Saccharomyces cerevisiae S288C: one gene and its partners. The gene in region 2 interacts genetically with the main gene of each other region. Each region holds a gene or a part of one and is shown on either strand. Other genes may lie near its edges.

Region 1 (5,002 bases), on a different chromosome or scaffold from region 2:
CATCAGTCTCGTGGGCAGTTCGCCGGCTCTTACCATTGGAGCTAGAACCAGTTTTCCAGCATATGTAACCATGATCTCTGTGTGACTGCGCTATTTGGTGTGGCTTGGATGGATGAAATAGCAAAAGTTTTTCAAGACGGTTTTCATTTTTTCTTCGAGCGAAGTGATGAGCAAAGTAGAGGAAATGGAAAGCGGCAAAAAATGCATTGTCGATTTTAGTAATGAATATATAAAACGACGGAAATATATATATACATGGCTGCGTAGACCACGCAGAACTGTATATGTATGTATGTATAGAGGAGGGATGGGAAATGCTGTGTGACGATAGACAGATGGATGGACGAATGGATAACTACGTCTCTAGTCTCTCATACAATGGTTTGTCAAACTTGACGGCGACCGAGTTTCTTCTGTGGTGATGTCTGTTGCAAGGACAAGACGGGTCTGAGTGGTCGTTAGGAGACGCGGATGTTTGCGGCTCCTGTTGGTCACTGATGGGGAACATCATGCTATGCTGGGCGTACGAGACGGACCTTTTCATCTCGGACGACGAGCGATTATCGAAGGAGGGCAGTTGTGGCTCACTGGCCCTTCTTTGAAAGTTTTTGTGATGCGCGCATTGGTGGAAGTCGCTTGCCGGCAATACAGAGTTGCGCCTAGAAGAGGGCAGTAGTGACGGCGAGGTTGGGTCAGAAGTCAAGCACGAGGCTGCGGTGTAGTTACTCTTGAACAATGAGGGCCGCGTAGGGTCTGCTACAACGGGAGCGGAAACATTAAGTACAGTCTCGACGATTTCATTGTCAGTTGATAAAGCAGGCGGTAAGCCGACGGAGCTGCCTCTGGGGGAGCAGGCTTTAGATGTAGCAGAGGAGCAGGAGCTGCTGCTGCTGCTCCTGCTGCTGCTTCTGTCCGCGATCGACTTGTAGTGGAAGGTGATGTGAGCGGAAACAGGGATGTTCACGGCACAAGGCTTGATATCCGTGGACGACATGGAACGTTTATTAGTTATATTTTTCGAGAAAAAATCTGAAACTTGCAGATCATTAGTTTACGCTTCGGATGTACACACACATACCTATATACATATATACATACACATATATATACATTTGTGTGCTCGTATGCGTACTGTTTTGCACTGGGCTGATTCGAGAAAGTCAAAAAGCTTAACTGGCCAGAAAAAGAAATTAAAACGGCACCGAGGGGTCGAAACCTTCCGTTTCTGCGAAGGCCCTTTGTTCTTTTGCTTTTGATCCGAAATGAGGGGCGGCGAGAGGTAAGGGGTAGAGGGGCTGGAACTCTCGCTGATGTTCTGAGCGAGGTGTTCAGGTGGGCCTATCCGCCTTAATCACTCCGGCGTGGGGAAAGAAAGCAGAGAGCGAGCAGAGAGCGAGCAGAGAGTGGGTGATGTCAGAGAACGATAATCCTGATGGGGGGTGGAACTTTATTACCCTACTTGAATTTTTTTATTTTGGTAGGGTAACTTTTATTCCCTTGAAAAAAATACTTCTGGTTACCCGGATCCGTTTTTTTTCGGGGATCCACGTGATGGCTTTTTGATCAGGACTAATTTTAAAACTGAAAAAAAAAAAAAAAAATTGAGTATGTCTTGCATGTATGAAAATTGATAAGTAACTAGGAAAAATGCCGCTCAAAATCTTAGTAAAAATAACTTCTTTTCTTTTTTTACTTAGTCAAATAAAAAGAAAACTGTGAAGGTGACACGGTAACTTGCAGACTGACATGAAGTTCTCGCATTCCTTACAATTCAATTCTGTACCAGAATGGTCTACCAAGTATCTGGCCTATTCGCAGCTGAAAAAATTGATCTATTCTTTGCAAAAAGATAAGCTGTACAGTAACAATAAGCACCATGTTGTGGAGCCACATGACGCCAACGATGAAAATCTGCCGCTATTGGCAGATGCTTCTCCAGATGATCAATTCTACATCTCTAAATTTGTTGCTGCCTTAAACCAAGAATTGAAAAAAATTGATAAATTCTACATATCTCAAGAAACAGGTCTTATCGCCAACTACAACGAATTGAAGGACGATGTCATGGAACTGGAAAACACGAACAAGGCCACCCAATTGTTTAATCAGCAGCAACAGCATCAACTGCAAAGTGTTGCAAGAAACAGGAAGTCTAAGTCACAACAACGCCAAAGAAGGTTTAGTAGTGTCTCCTCCACGGACTCCAACCCCTCTCTGACAGACATGTCGATTGACTCTGCACCCGTCATCCACACGCAGGTCTCGAACACGACTAATAATGGTAACTCAATGCAAAACCTGGCCTCCGCTTCAGTGTCGCTTTCTAACTCTAACCCTGTGTATCTTTCTCCTTTTACCCAACATAGGCTCTCTTTAAAGAAAAGATTGATATCGATCTACACCCAGTTGTCCGAGTTGAAGGACTTTATTGAGTTGAACCAGACCGGGTTCTCCAAGATCTGCAAGAAATTTGACAAGTCCTTAAATACGAACTTGAAGCAGAACTACTTGAACTATATCAAATTCCATTCGCATGTTTTCAATCCTGCTACAATAAATAGGATTCAGCATCACATTACCGAGACCATCCTCACTTACGCTAGCTTGAACAAGGGCACGCGTCGACCATCTAATACGTTTAACTTGGACGCTGACCGAATCAACAATGACGAAAACAGCAGCGGTAATGAAGAAGACGAAGATGGCAACAGACAAGAAGTCCTCGATTTCCAGGATGCTGAGCGTGAATTATCCTCTCATTTGAGAGATCACGTAGTTTGGGAAAGAAACACCGTTTGGAAAGATATGATGAATTTGGAGAGAAAGTACCAATCTGCCAAGACTGACAACAAGAAGTTTTCAAAGTTGAGTTCCAGTCAATTGCGCCCCAATGCCAACATTACTGAATCCATGGCAATGTCGAGTGGTGGCGCCGGTATCATCGCTCCATCAACGGATTCCCTAACTTTCCGTGAACTCATGCATTTACCACCCAAGCAATGGTTGCAATTTATCATGGGCCAAACTTCCCTGCTGAAGTTTCTGTTAATCACCTCATGTTTCATTGCATTATTAACTTTTAATTTGACTCCTTTTACGCAGGATTCCTTACAGAAAAACTGTTTCGCCATCTTAATATATGCATCTTTATTATGGGCCACTGAGACCATCCCCCTTTTCGTGACTTCTCTAATGATTCCTCTGCTTATTGTAGTGTTCCCTGTTATCAAGGACCCTATCACCTCCCAACCAATGTCTCCCCGTGATTCCTCTCAGTTCATCTTATCAACGATGTGGTCGAGTGTCATCATGCTTTTGCTGGGTGGGTTTACTTTAGCAGCCGCCCTTTCCAAGTACAACATTGCCAAAGTCCTTTCTACGCATATTTTGGCATCCGCCGGTACAAACCCACATTTTATTCTTTTAACAAATATGTTTGTGGCGCTCTTTGTTTCCATGTGGGTTTCTAATGTTGCTGCCCCCGTTCTTTGCTATTCAATTGTTCAACCTTTGCTCAGAACACTGCCAAGAAATTGTTCCTATGCCAAAGCTCTAATTCTTGGTATCGCTCTTGCCTCCAATATCGGTGGTATGTCTTCTCCCATCGCTTCTCCTCAAAACATTTTTTCTATTGGTATAATGGACCCTTCACCATCTTGGGCTGAATGGTTTATGATTGCGCTACCTGTGTGCTTTATTTGTGTCATGGCAATTTGGGTGCTATTGATCATAACCTTCCCTCCTGAGCCAAATGTGAAAATTTTGCAATTGCATCCATCCCGTGATCCATTCACTCTGAAGCAATGGTTTGTCACTTTAGTTTGCATTATAACAATTGTTCTTTGGTGTCTTTCAAACCAAATCTCCGGTATCTTTGGTGAAATGGGAATCATATCTATTATACCTATAGTAGTCTTCTTCGGTACAGGTCTTCTAACTTCGGATGATTTCAATAATTTCATGTGGACAATCGTTGTTTTGGCCATGGGAGGTACCACCCTAGGTAAGGCGGTAAGCTCATCCGGTTTATTGTCTACAATGGCACAGTTAATTAAGGCGCAGGTTGAGCATGAACCAATCTTCATTATTGTGTTGATCTTCGGTCTAGTGATTCTTGTAATGGCCACTTTTGTCTCCCATACCGTCGCGGCAATGATCATCGTACCATTAATGAGTGAGATCGGTTCCAATCTACCTTCAGGTGATCATTCTAGACTATTGATCGTTATAGCCGCCCTATTATGCTCTAGTGCTATGGGTCTTCCAACCTCTGGTTTCCCCAACGTGACTGCCATTTCAATGATTGATGAAGTTGGTGATAGATATTTGACCGTGGGTACATTTATTACGAGAGGTGTACCAGCCAGTTTGTTAAGTTATGCCGCTATTGTTACAGTAGGTTATGGCATATTGAAAGTAATGGGATTTTAAGATTATCCATAGAGAGAATGAAAGGTTACTAATATAGTATGTATACGTGCACTATTATTTAATTTTACTTTATATTGCCTCTAATTATTCTCAATCACAACCAAAATACTTTGAATCAAAAAATCTGGTCAATGCCCATTTGTATTGATGATTTTGTAACTTTTCTCTGGAGATGATCATACCAGCAAAAATGTTGACTTTGTTATCAAATGCATTTAATATACGTCGGATACCAACTTCAGTGGCCAAATAAACCACCACGCTAATCTTTTCCAAATCAATACCATGATCTAAAAGCACCTGGATGGCCATGATCATGGCCGCACCACTTATGATTTGACCTTCCATTAAGAAAACCTTGCCAAACTTTTCTATATTTGGGGGTAAAAATTCGCAATGCAGTTGAGGTTCCCCAGTTTGTGAATCGGACTGAATCAACAATTTACCAATTGTGATATTGGGGATCGTCTTTCTCAAAGACTTCATAAAACAATCGCCAGATCGAATAATATTAACAGCTGTAACTTGATCGAATTGACAGGCAATAACGTTTTCCATGGTATGCTCACCA
Region 2 (2,901 bases):
TTCATACGTAACGGGGGTAATATTACTAGCTGTTAGAATAAGAGTCAACGATCATAATTGACTAGTAACGCAAATACTACTAAACAGATGATGTTTTAGAGTTTCATTCTAACAAATTGATAATGTAGTAGAATAATGAATGACAAAGTATAAAAGAAAGGAAGACAAAGTGATTTTATTATCAGAACTATCAACTCCCTTTCGTGAATTCCAAGACTGTTGAGGAGAACTTCTAGTATATTTTGTATACCTAATATCAACAACGAAATCCCAACAATTAATACGAAGTTCACCCATTTTCTGATAATTGTTACGTGCAAATAATAGAACTACTTTTGTCGAGGTGTAATCTCGTATTCAAACTATATAGTAAATTATTCTCAATGGTCGAGTAATGCAAGAAGATGATATTGAATACTTTGCGTAACTTTACCAATTATCCAATATGCAACAGTAAAATGATACCTTCACATTTCAAGCTAATTCCAAAATAATACATATTAGGTAAAATCCTCAATTTAATTGCCCGGTTTTACCTTCAGACATCGCTCCCTTTCCATTGACACATCTATACCCTTCAATGAACCCGCTATGTAATATCAACGCATCGTAAAAATAGAATAATAATGCAGTAGTACATATCCAGCCTAGCTGCAATCTAAATAGCTGTGATAGTCGGTGTAAATTAATAGTTTGGTCAGTTTTAAAAAAAAACCTAATTTTGGTACAAAAGTAGAAGCTGAAAGCAGTCATTGATACCAATAACAAATACTTTAGCTGAAACCATTTAGGATACTTTTTTCTGGCAGCACAGCTGGGACATACTACCTTCGAACATCTCTTTGGCTTTGTTTTATTTTCATTTTTAAAATGACCGTTCTTTCGATATAAAAAGAAAACTATAATAACGAGGGAAATTGTTACCGCCCCCAGAATCATATCTATGATCTTAATGATGATTGCTTTTGGGTACTTTTCAATCAAATTATCTACTGATGGCACCATAAAACAATTTATAAAATAAAGGCTACAAACGGCCTTTGTTAATTTTTCTATAATTAATAAGGAATTAGACTTTGGGATCTCATCTTGGCTTTCTGTCGCACTAAGTTCTGCCTCTTTCATTATTTCCTATACTTTGAAGGAGAAAGTAAACTTTAACGGCAAGTTCCTGTCTTAACTACCTTTTAGTTCTCGTGTGTTGTGAAGGGCCTTTGAGGAAAAACTCGAAAGTTTGTTCCGTACTTTTAAACTTTCAATTTTTTACCAAAAAGGCTATTTACCGCTTTATGGGAAGATCATGGCAAGTCAAATCCACGTTAAATGGAACAAGATTAACTTGCCACAGATCAAATGCTGAATTGAAGAGAAGTTTTAAGCATTAAGATTCTTAATATGATCATTAATATATCAGTACGTGTCTCAACTGGAATCGTATAAGGTTCTTGTAAGTACAAATTGTATGCAGAAATTTAAATGCGAGAACAAAACTTGAATCTCCCCCCGCATTTAAAAAATATCTTTTTGAACACAGTGCAACTGATTAAAAGTACCTGTAATACATATATATGTTTGTATACGTATGTATATCTAATTATTTCTTACCGTCAAATCATAATTATTTTTATCCGTTCGTAAAGCAATCCAGTGCTAAATACCAATTGTGAGGCCATCGGCTTAGTTTGGAACAGCAGTGTAGATACCGTCCTTGGATAGAGCGCTGGAGATAGCTGGTCTCAATCTGGTGGAGTACCATGGGACACCAGTGATGACTCTAGTGACTTGATCAGCGGGAATACCAGTCAACATAGTGGTGAAATCACCGTAGTTGAAAACAGCTTCAGCAATTTCAACTGGGTAAGTTTCAGTTGGATGAGCAGCTTGGAACATATAGTATTCAGCCAAATGAGCTCTGATATCTGAGACGTAGACACCTAATTCGACCAGGTTAACTCTTTCGTCAGAGGGAGATAAAGTAGTGGTGGCTGGGGCAGCAGCGACACCAGCAGCAATAGCAGCGACACCAGCAACAATTGAAGTTAGTTTGACCATTTTTTTCGATTGAACTTTTGTAGATCTTTTTAGTGAAGATGTGAGCTCACTCGAATGTAAATAACAATGCCAAATTGTCGGAAAGAGTTAATCAAAGCTGCTCTATTTATATGCCGTTTTTTAATAAGCGACGGACGAACAGATAAATTGTTGAATAGCTATTTCACTGCTGATATTTCTCTTACTTGGGCTCCCCTATCCCATACTCTTCACCACTACAAATATGCAGTTGCCCTTTCTTCAACAATGCTTTTTTTATAGATCTCGTATACGGATCCGCGCCTTTGTACTACCTATATCTTATTATGATATATACAGGAGCACAGGAATGTTCGGTACAGGGATGATACCTTTAAAGGAAGTTTTGGCATGCCTTGACAACTTCAATTAATCTTTGGCCAAGAAAATGAACCAGAAATCAAATTTTATTCTGTGCCCTCTGAACGAGGGCAATATCCAATGTTTGACACTAAACGGTTGTCAGGAGAAAAATTGAATGTTTCCCAAATCAGAAACATTAAAATCCCTCTATATGATCAGAGGAGTCGTACCTGTTAGGGTATGAGCGAGGAAACGTGATTGAGAGTTATAAACTGACCATACGAAGAGTTACGGCCATTGATTGGGTTCATGACACCCAGGGAAGTTTCTTTTGGATTAAAATCACAAGTCTTGCAATTGCTGTATGTATTGCATGAGTGAAGTAGTTGGCATCTAATGGATACCCACTTAGGGAGTTTATGGATGAATCTTGTCTTCATAGGGTAGCTCGAGAGTGTTTTTTAATCTAGTGATATCCACTTAGCTAAGCGCGGCTGGAGATACAATATTTACAAAGGCAATTTCAAA
Region 3 (3,304 bases), on a different chromosome or scaffold from region 2:
GTTTGTTGCAGGCAAACCATACTGTTAGCCTCACAATCAATTTGAACAACTGGGACGTTATGCTCCTTTAAAATAGAGGCGGCCTCTTCTAAGTGAGGGCGTAAGATCTGAGAATGCAAACACCATGGAGCAAAAAACTCGACGAGGACTAACGGATGAGATTCGATGAATGATTTAAATTTCTTCTCTGTTAGAACGAGTAAATCTGATCCCGGCGTAGCTCTTGCGCTGTTTTCAGCCAACGTGAAAGAAGCAAACAGGCAAAACGAGACTATCGCAGATATAAATCTTGTGGTCACTTGCATGGTATTATATGAGCGGGTGCTTGTTGGGAGATTGCCATATAATTGAAACGTCAAGTCTTGGAAATTGAAACTTTCTGAATGCTAAAATATCTATTGTCTTAACAAAAAAGGACACGCGTGCCTTTGAAAAAAAGTCTCGGTACTTTTCGTACATTGCCAACTATCGTTTACGTGTTTTGAAGGGAAAGCAAGCTTATATATATATATTTAATTTTGCTATGAAACAAAACCAAAAGACTAACCAGGAAAGTTAATCAGAGGATGACTGTTTTTGTGGTGGTGGGGCGAGGATGTCAGATTCTGCTGACTTCGCAGCGGTAGATGACTTATCTCTGCCTTCATTAAAATAGTCATCCATTGCCAATGGCTGGGTACCCTTTTTATTTTTTGATTTCTTCTTTGTTGGCACCGGTGGTGCTGTGAATGCTGATGGCACAAAAGCCGTCTCAGATTCTACTGGAACAGGAACAGGAACAGGGTTGTCATCTTGCCCCTGCTGCTGTGCTTGTTGTGGACAGTGCTTTACTGTTGGAATCCTGTGAAGAAACCCGTATCCAACGTTGCAACCCAACCTGCCGTCGGGACCTATATGAACTGTGATTGGTCTCACACAGTCAGAAACTTTGTTGTAGACATAAAGGACCAGATCGTAGTTTGCTCTTGATCTAACAATATCTTGTAAAAGCGTCTCCCCTCCCGTGGCCAACAGGCCATCTTGGCAGCCGATAATGTAGTCTTCATCTGGGATGAGCCCTGCCGATTGGGCGGGTCCATCTGGGATGTTCACGTTCAGGATATGGTATGTGAAAGTGGAAGCTATCAAAGGCGTCCATTGGACTTTGAACCCGAGTGCTTGGAACTGGTGCGCTTCCCCACTAGATGGCCTCCTCTCGTCATGGTTTAGAGAAACATCGTCCAAATCGTCGCTCTCCTTCGATATAATGCTGATATACTCGTCTCTGAACGTGCCTCCTTTAGCTGACCATATGTTGACCTTCAAAGTTCGGCCACAGTGTTCATTGAAGATGGATGTGATACGACGGTAATCTGGGTACGAAAATCCGTGTTGATTACTGACCACCGGCACCGGATCATCATTGAAACCTACTATATAGTCGAAAAAGGACTGCAGTTGGAACTGCATCTCGTCCACCCAAACAATGCGGAGACCGGAAAGCGTTTCATTGACGTTGGTGTGCTTAACACCTTCAGAAACCGCATCTACGGGTGATTCCAACTGAGCAGACAACAAATTTGGTGGTATAGACTGAAAGAAAGCGTCCAGATTGCTCGAGTCCTGCGAGAGTGCCAGGGTATCTTGCACGCTCTGCTCAAAAGTCCGTACGAGGTTTTTAGCTATTCTAAACATAGTTCTTCTTCCTATACCTTTTTACTTCCCTAGTTTCGCACGCTGTGTCGGTCGCAGTTACAGTAGTAGTCTCAGCACCCCTGTTCTTGGTCCTGATCCCGTTGCGACAAGCCCATTTCTTTTATGATAGCCAAAATGCAACTAAACCTCGTCGTCGTCGGCTTGCGTGTCCGCCGCGAAGACAGAAAAATAACGAAACGAACTTAATAGAAACGACCTAGATTTTATTTGGAAGCCAGCCCGATGCTATCTTCAAAATGGCTGTCACTGGGTGCAAAGGCGGTGGGAGAGCCCATTAAGTAATTTAATCGGGTTGTCTCACCAATGTTAGCCACAACGCAACGCTACGTCGCCACTCTGGCAGCCACCGCAACGAGCAGTAGCAACTACTTTCGGGTGGGCCCTTCAGGGGTAGTTGCCTGCGTCTTTGTTCGAAGAATCAAGTGACAAAAAACGCGGGGCATCCAGAAAGTCTTTTTGTGTGTGTCGTCGAAAGGGAAAGTGAGAGAGTGAGAGTGAATTAGTGTTTGTGTGTGTGGAAGACAGAGGAAGAAGATCGGGTCGTCGAATTCTATTATGCTTGCGATGCAGGGGGGGGAAACATGTATTCGGGATTATATAAAGTCGATTCTGTGTAAGTGTAAAATCTCATCTTGTCTCGTGTTCTTTTGTACGTCTCATACTTATAGGAAGTTTAAATAGAAACAGATATCAGTGTATCAAGGAAGAATTGTACAAGAATCGAATCATAGATACACAGTAATGTCATTTGAAAATTTACATAAAGTCAATGCTGAGGCATTGGAAGATGCAGTGGTTGAGATCTGCTCCTCATTGCAGGTTGATGCAGCAAAGTTGGACGAACTAACAGCGTACTTCATTGAATGTATGGAAAAGGGGTTGAATAACACCTCTGTAGGCGAAGAAAAGACGGTGGACAAGGGTCTACCCATGATCCCTACATATGTAACCAGTTTGCCCAATGGGACGGAACGTGGTGTTTTGCTGGCTGCAGATTTAGGTGGGACTCACTTCAGAGTGTGTTCTGTGACTTTGAATGGTGACGGAACCTTTGATATGCAGCAATTGAAGTCTAAGATTCCGGAAGAATATCTAAATGACAAGGATGTCACCAGCGAGGAGCTGTTTAGCTACCTGGGTCGCCGTACAAGGGCCTTCGTTAGGAAGCATCATCCTGAGTTGTTGAAGTCCACGGGGGAGAACATAAAACCTTTGAAAATGGGATTTACCTTCTCATATCCCGTTGACCAAACCTCTTTGAGTTCCGGTACTTTAATCAGATGGACCAAAAGCTTCAAGATTGAAGACACGGTCGGCAAGGATGTCGTGAGGTTATACCAGGAGCAATTAGACATTCAGGGGCTCTCTATGATTAATGTGGTAGCTTTGACCAACGACACGGTTGGCACTTTCCTATCCCACTGCTACACTTCAGGCTCTCGTCCATCGAGTGCTGGTGAGATTAGCGAGCCTGTCATTGGTTGTATCTTTGGTACTGGTACTAACGGTTGCTATATGGAGGATATTGAAAACATCAAGAAGCTACCAGATGAGCTCAGAACAAGACTGCTGCATGAAGGAAAAACCCAAATGTGCATCAACATCGAAT
Region 4 (3,530 bases), on a different chromosome or scaffold from region 2:
TTGTTACCTAATTTTTTGATTGTTCATCAAGAGGTCCCTGAGGATCCTATTGCATTCAAGTCCACCGATAAACGAGAGAATGAAAATAAAGAGATCACCATCCCTGAGCTAATAGATACTAAAGTTCCTGAATTAGCTGACGGTGCTACTGACACTTTATATGGTTTACTGGTCAATGGCCATTTACAAACTGCATATGGTTCCTTTAGACACTTTGACAATATATACAAAGTTCAATATAAAAGAATGATAATCAAATACCCACATGGGGGAGAAGGGACTGTGGATTTTGCTGTAAATGGTAGAAGTACCAAAAGAAGAAAAGTGGAAAAAGAATACGTGCCGACAAGTCAACCGGTATTTAACGGAAACTTGAAACGAAGATATTCGTACTATTCCCCTGATGATCCTAAATTGAACTCAGACGATGCTAAGCCTATGCTTATTATTCTCCATGGATTAACAGGGGGTTCGAGGGAAAGCTACGTGAGGGCAATTGTTCATGAAATCACCACGAAGTATGACTTTGAAGCATGCGTGTTTAATGCTAGAGGATGTTGTTATTCTGCAATTACAACGCCGCTATTATACAACGGTGGTTGGACCAATGATATAAGATATTGTGTTAATGACTTGAGGAAAAGATTTCCGAATAGAAAGTTTTATATGATGGGATTTTCGTTAGGCGCATCTATAATGACAAATTACTTGGGAGAAGAGTCAGATCGTACTAAAATCGAATGTGCTATTTCCGTGAGTAATCCATTTGACCTGTACAACTCTGCATATTTTATTAACAGTACACCAATGGGGTCACGATTTTATTCACCTGCTTTGGGTCACAACTTACTACGCATGGTTCGAAACCATCTCTCTACTCTGGAAGAAAACCCTGATTTCAAAGATGTTATCGAGAAGCATTTAAAAAAGATTCGCACTGTGAGGCAATTTGATAACTTGTTGACAGGCCCAATGTTTGGATATAAAAATGCAGAGGAGTATTACAAGAATGCTTCATCATATAAAAGAATACCCGGGATCAGAACTCCTTTTATAGCTTTGCATGCTCAGGATGACCCAATTGTCGGAGGTGATCTTCCTATAGACCAAATAAAATCCAATCCATACACTTTGCTTCTAGAAACTTCGACGGGGGGGCATGTTGGATGGTTCAAAGACAGATCCGGCAGAAGGTGGTACGCAGAACCCTTATGCAGATTTTTGAAAATATTTCACGACGAAATTACTGTAAAGGGCTTAAAACCTGACTTGGAAAATGTTCAACTCCCAGATCCTAATTGCGAACCCATAGCCACAACCTTTCGCGCGAATTAGTTTGTAAATAAGTCAACTTTTTAGATGTGTAACCTGATAATTTTTTTTTTTGATGTTCGACATCATTATTTCTGAATGAAAACGTGAAAAGCTTCGCCAAACTTAAAATGGAAAATTTCGAATGGAACAAAATATAATCGATGCGATGAATTAAAACCTTGGAAGAAGAGGGTTAATTGTTAAAATTACATATATAATTGGCAGACAAGAATAAAAAATGCATGAAGTAGTAACGATATCGGTTTCGCAGAGAGCAAACCATTTGACTACTCAATTCTTCAATATACAAGAGGGCTATTTACAATTGTCTAAAGAACAACAAGTCAATGACTCCAAAATTTTTCTGAATTCGGTTGTAGATAAAGTTTCAAAAACAATTTCATATGCACCACGTGCCTTACTTTGGGATGCCCGTACAGGTAATGGTTCACTAGGAACATATCAATATTCAGAAAGCCAAGACTATCATTTCGGCAATGAAGACAAATTCAAGGAGCAAACAGTTATAAAGACTCATCCAAGAATACCTAAATCCGAATATCAGAGTTCTCTAGATGCAGGAGCACCGCTGCCTTGTTTGAACAGAGAAAATACGATGTATTGGTCTGACTATTCTAAACTTATCTATGGTCCTTCAAGTTTCAATATTTTGAGAAATTGGTACCATGACACTGAAAATCCAAACCAACCTGACTTTCAAAACTTGGGGGAGCGAAAGTTTGACAGGTATTCCATTGGTTATGACGAATTTACCGAAAATTACTTGCAAGAGTTTTTTGATGGAAATTTGCATAGAGAATTGGAAAAATGTGACACCCTGCAAGGCTTCAATCTTGTAAGTGATATGGAGAGTGGATGGGGCGGGTTTTCTAGTGCTCTACTGGTGGAATTAAGGAATGAATTACCTAAAAAGGCGGTCTTTTCATGGGGACACAATGAAGATGATCCATTCACAGATGACTTCCCTATGAAAAGACTTTCAAAGAAATGGCTCCCGATCATTTCGAACAAATTAAGAAGCACAATAAATATGATGCAAGAATCCGATCTTTACTTCCCATTGTATGCTGCTCCTGGACTAACTAATTGGGAAACTGCTGGAAAGAGCTGTAGGATATTTGATTCTATAAATGCGACAATTTCCCAAAGCAATCTTGAACAAAGAAAGACAATGGATTATCTAACAACTGCCATTACCTTAGGATATTCGTCGCGAAATATGGTCACTGGCATGGTTATCGGTGACACCGATTACTCATTCTGTTCTCGAGTACTTCCTTTCAAGAATAGCCACAAACCAAATTCTACTCACATATTTTCAAAAAGTTTCATTGATAGAGGAAATCAAACGCATAAACATCATTCCGAACCTGATTCACGGAGTAAGATGATTGAAATGTATACACACAGGTATTTTCCATCTGATACGATACCGACAGAATTTTCCAATGATCGTGAATTTGTTTTGGAATTAGAATCATCTGAAAAAAATCGAGATATATTCAAACATTGGAATGAGTTTGTGGTAAGGTACTTCAAAAATGATAGTGACAGAGAAGAATTGAAAAATGAACTTTCCGATTACGCCTCAGCGTACGAATCTGGGTGGTATGAAGACGAAGATTCTGGTGATGACGATATGTGATAAGCAGTTTGCAGCTACGTATTTCCTTTCTCCAGTTGAGGCAAACAGGACTTCTTCCATCTTTTTCGAAGTTTTTACTTCGCCATTTGATCTATATCTACGTAAATTACATTAATTAGAAAGTCATGCTATATCACTCTTGCCCTTGAAAGCATCCACAGCTGTCCGTCAAAAACTTAATTTCTCAAGTGGAGGAGAAAATTTTACCTCTTGAACTTAAAGAATGTAAATCTTCATTTGCGTCTTTAAAGTCATCGTTTTGATTTTCACCAGTTGCTGTTTTTTGCAAAAAGGATTTTCTATTTCCAATGCTACTGCGATCAGAAAGACTAGATATTGGTGCAAGTCGCAGAGAATTTGATCTAGCAACGTCGATTTTATCCAAGCCAACAATATTCTCCTCATCAGGATCTTTGATTTTATTCGCGTCATCTGAAAAAGTTTTCAATTCATTTAATAAAAATGTGATATTAGTGACACGAGATTTCACTGATTGAGAACCCCGAAAAGAGCCATCTCTTTTCATATTATTTGGAATATTCTTTTCATT

The links.
Region 1: mutations in YLR036C (region 2) and PHO91 together harm fitness more than expected from each alone (negative genetic interaction), as found in Saccharomyces cerevisiae (one large-scale study listed by BioGRID).
Region 3: mutations in YLR036C (region 2) and GRH1 together harm fitness more than expected from each alone (negative genetic interaction), as found in Saccharomyces cerevisiae (one large-scale study listed by BioGRID).
Region 4: mutations in YLR036C (region 2) and DML1 together harm fitness more than expected from each alone (negative genetic interaction), as found in Saccharomyces cerevisiae (one large-scale study listed by BioGRID).

Annotation. Positions count from the first base shown.
Region 1 is NC_001146.8:648,457-653,458, reverse strand, and holds PHO91 (Pho91p), read left to right. Parts: upstream 1-1,746; coding exon 1,747-4,431; downstream 4,432-5,002. Other genes in the region: SMM1 (tRNA-dihydrouridine(20) synthase (NAD(+))), read right to left, coding at 1-72; YNR014W (uncharacterized protein), read right to left, coding at 356-994; uridine kinase URK1, read right to left, coding at 4,522-5,002. UniProt on the Saccharomyces cerevisiae protein: Vacuolar phosphate transporter that probably exports phosphate from the vacuolar lumen to the cytosol.
Region 2 is NC_001144.5:221,008-223,908, forward strand, and holds YLR036C (uncharacterized protein), read right to left. Parts: upstream 1,126-2,901; coding exon 514-1,125; downstream 1-513. Other genes in the region: seripauperin PAU23, read right to left, coding at 1,678-2,052.
Region 3 is NC_001136.10:1,475,609-1,478,912, reverse strand, and holds GRH1 (Grh1p), read right to left. Parts: upstream 1,675-3,304; coding exon 556-1,674; downstream 1-555. Other genes in the region: protein disulfide isomerase EUG1, read right to left, coding at 1-305; EMI2 (putative glucokinase), read left to right, coding at 2,437-3,304. UniProt on the Saccharomyces cerevisiae protein: Involved in the spindle assembly checkpoint. Involved in ER to Golgi vesicle-mediated transport by either facilitating USO1-dependent and -independent tethering or increasing target accuracy of fusion events of COPII-coated vesicles.
Region 4 is NC_001145.3:687,531-691,060, forward strand, and holds DML1 (Dml1p), read left to right. Parts: upstream 1-1,552; coding exon 1,553-2,980; downstream 2,981-3,530. Other genes in the region: MGL2 (putative carboxylic ester hydrolase), read left to right, coding at 1-1,335; EFR3 (Efr3p), read right to left, coding at 3,165-3,530.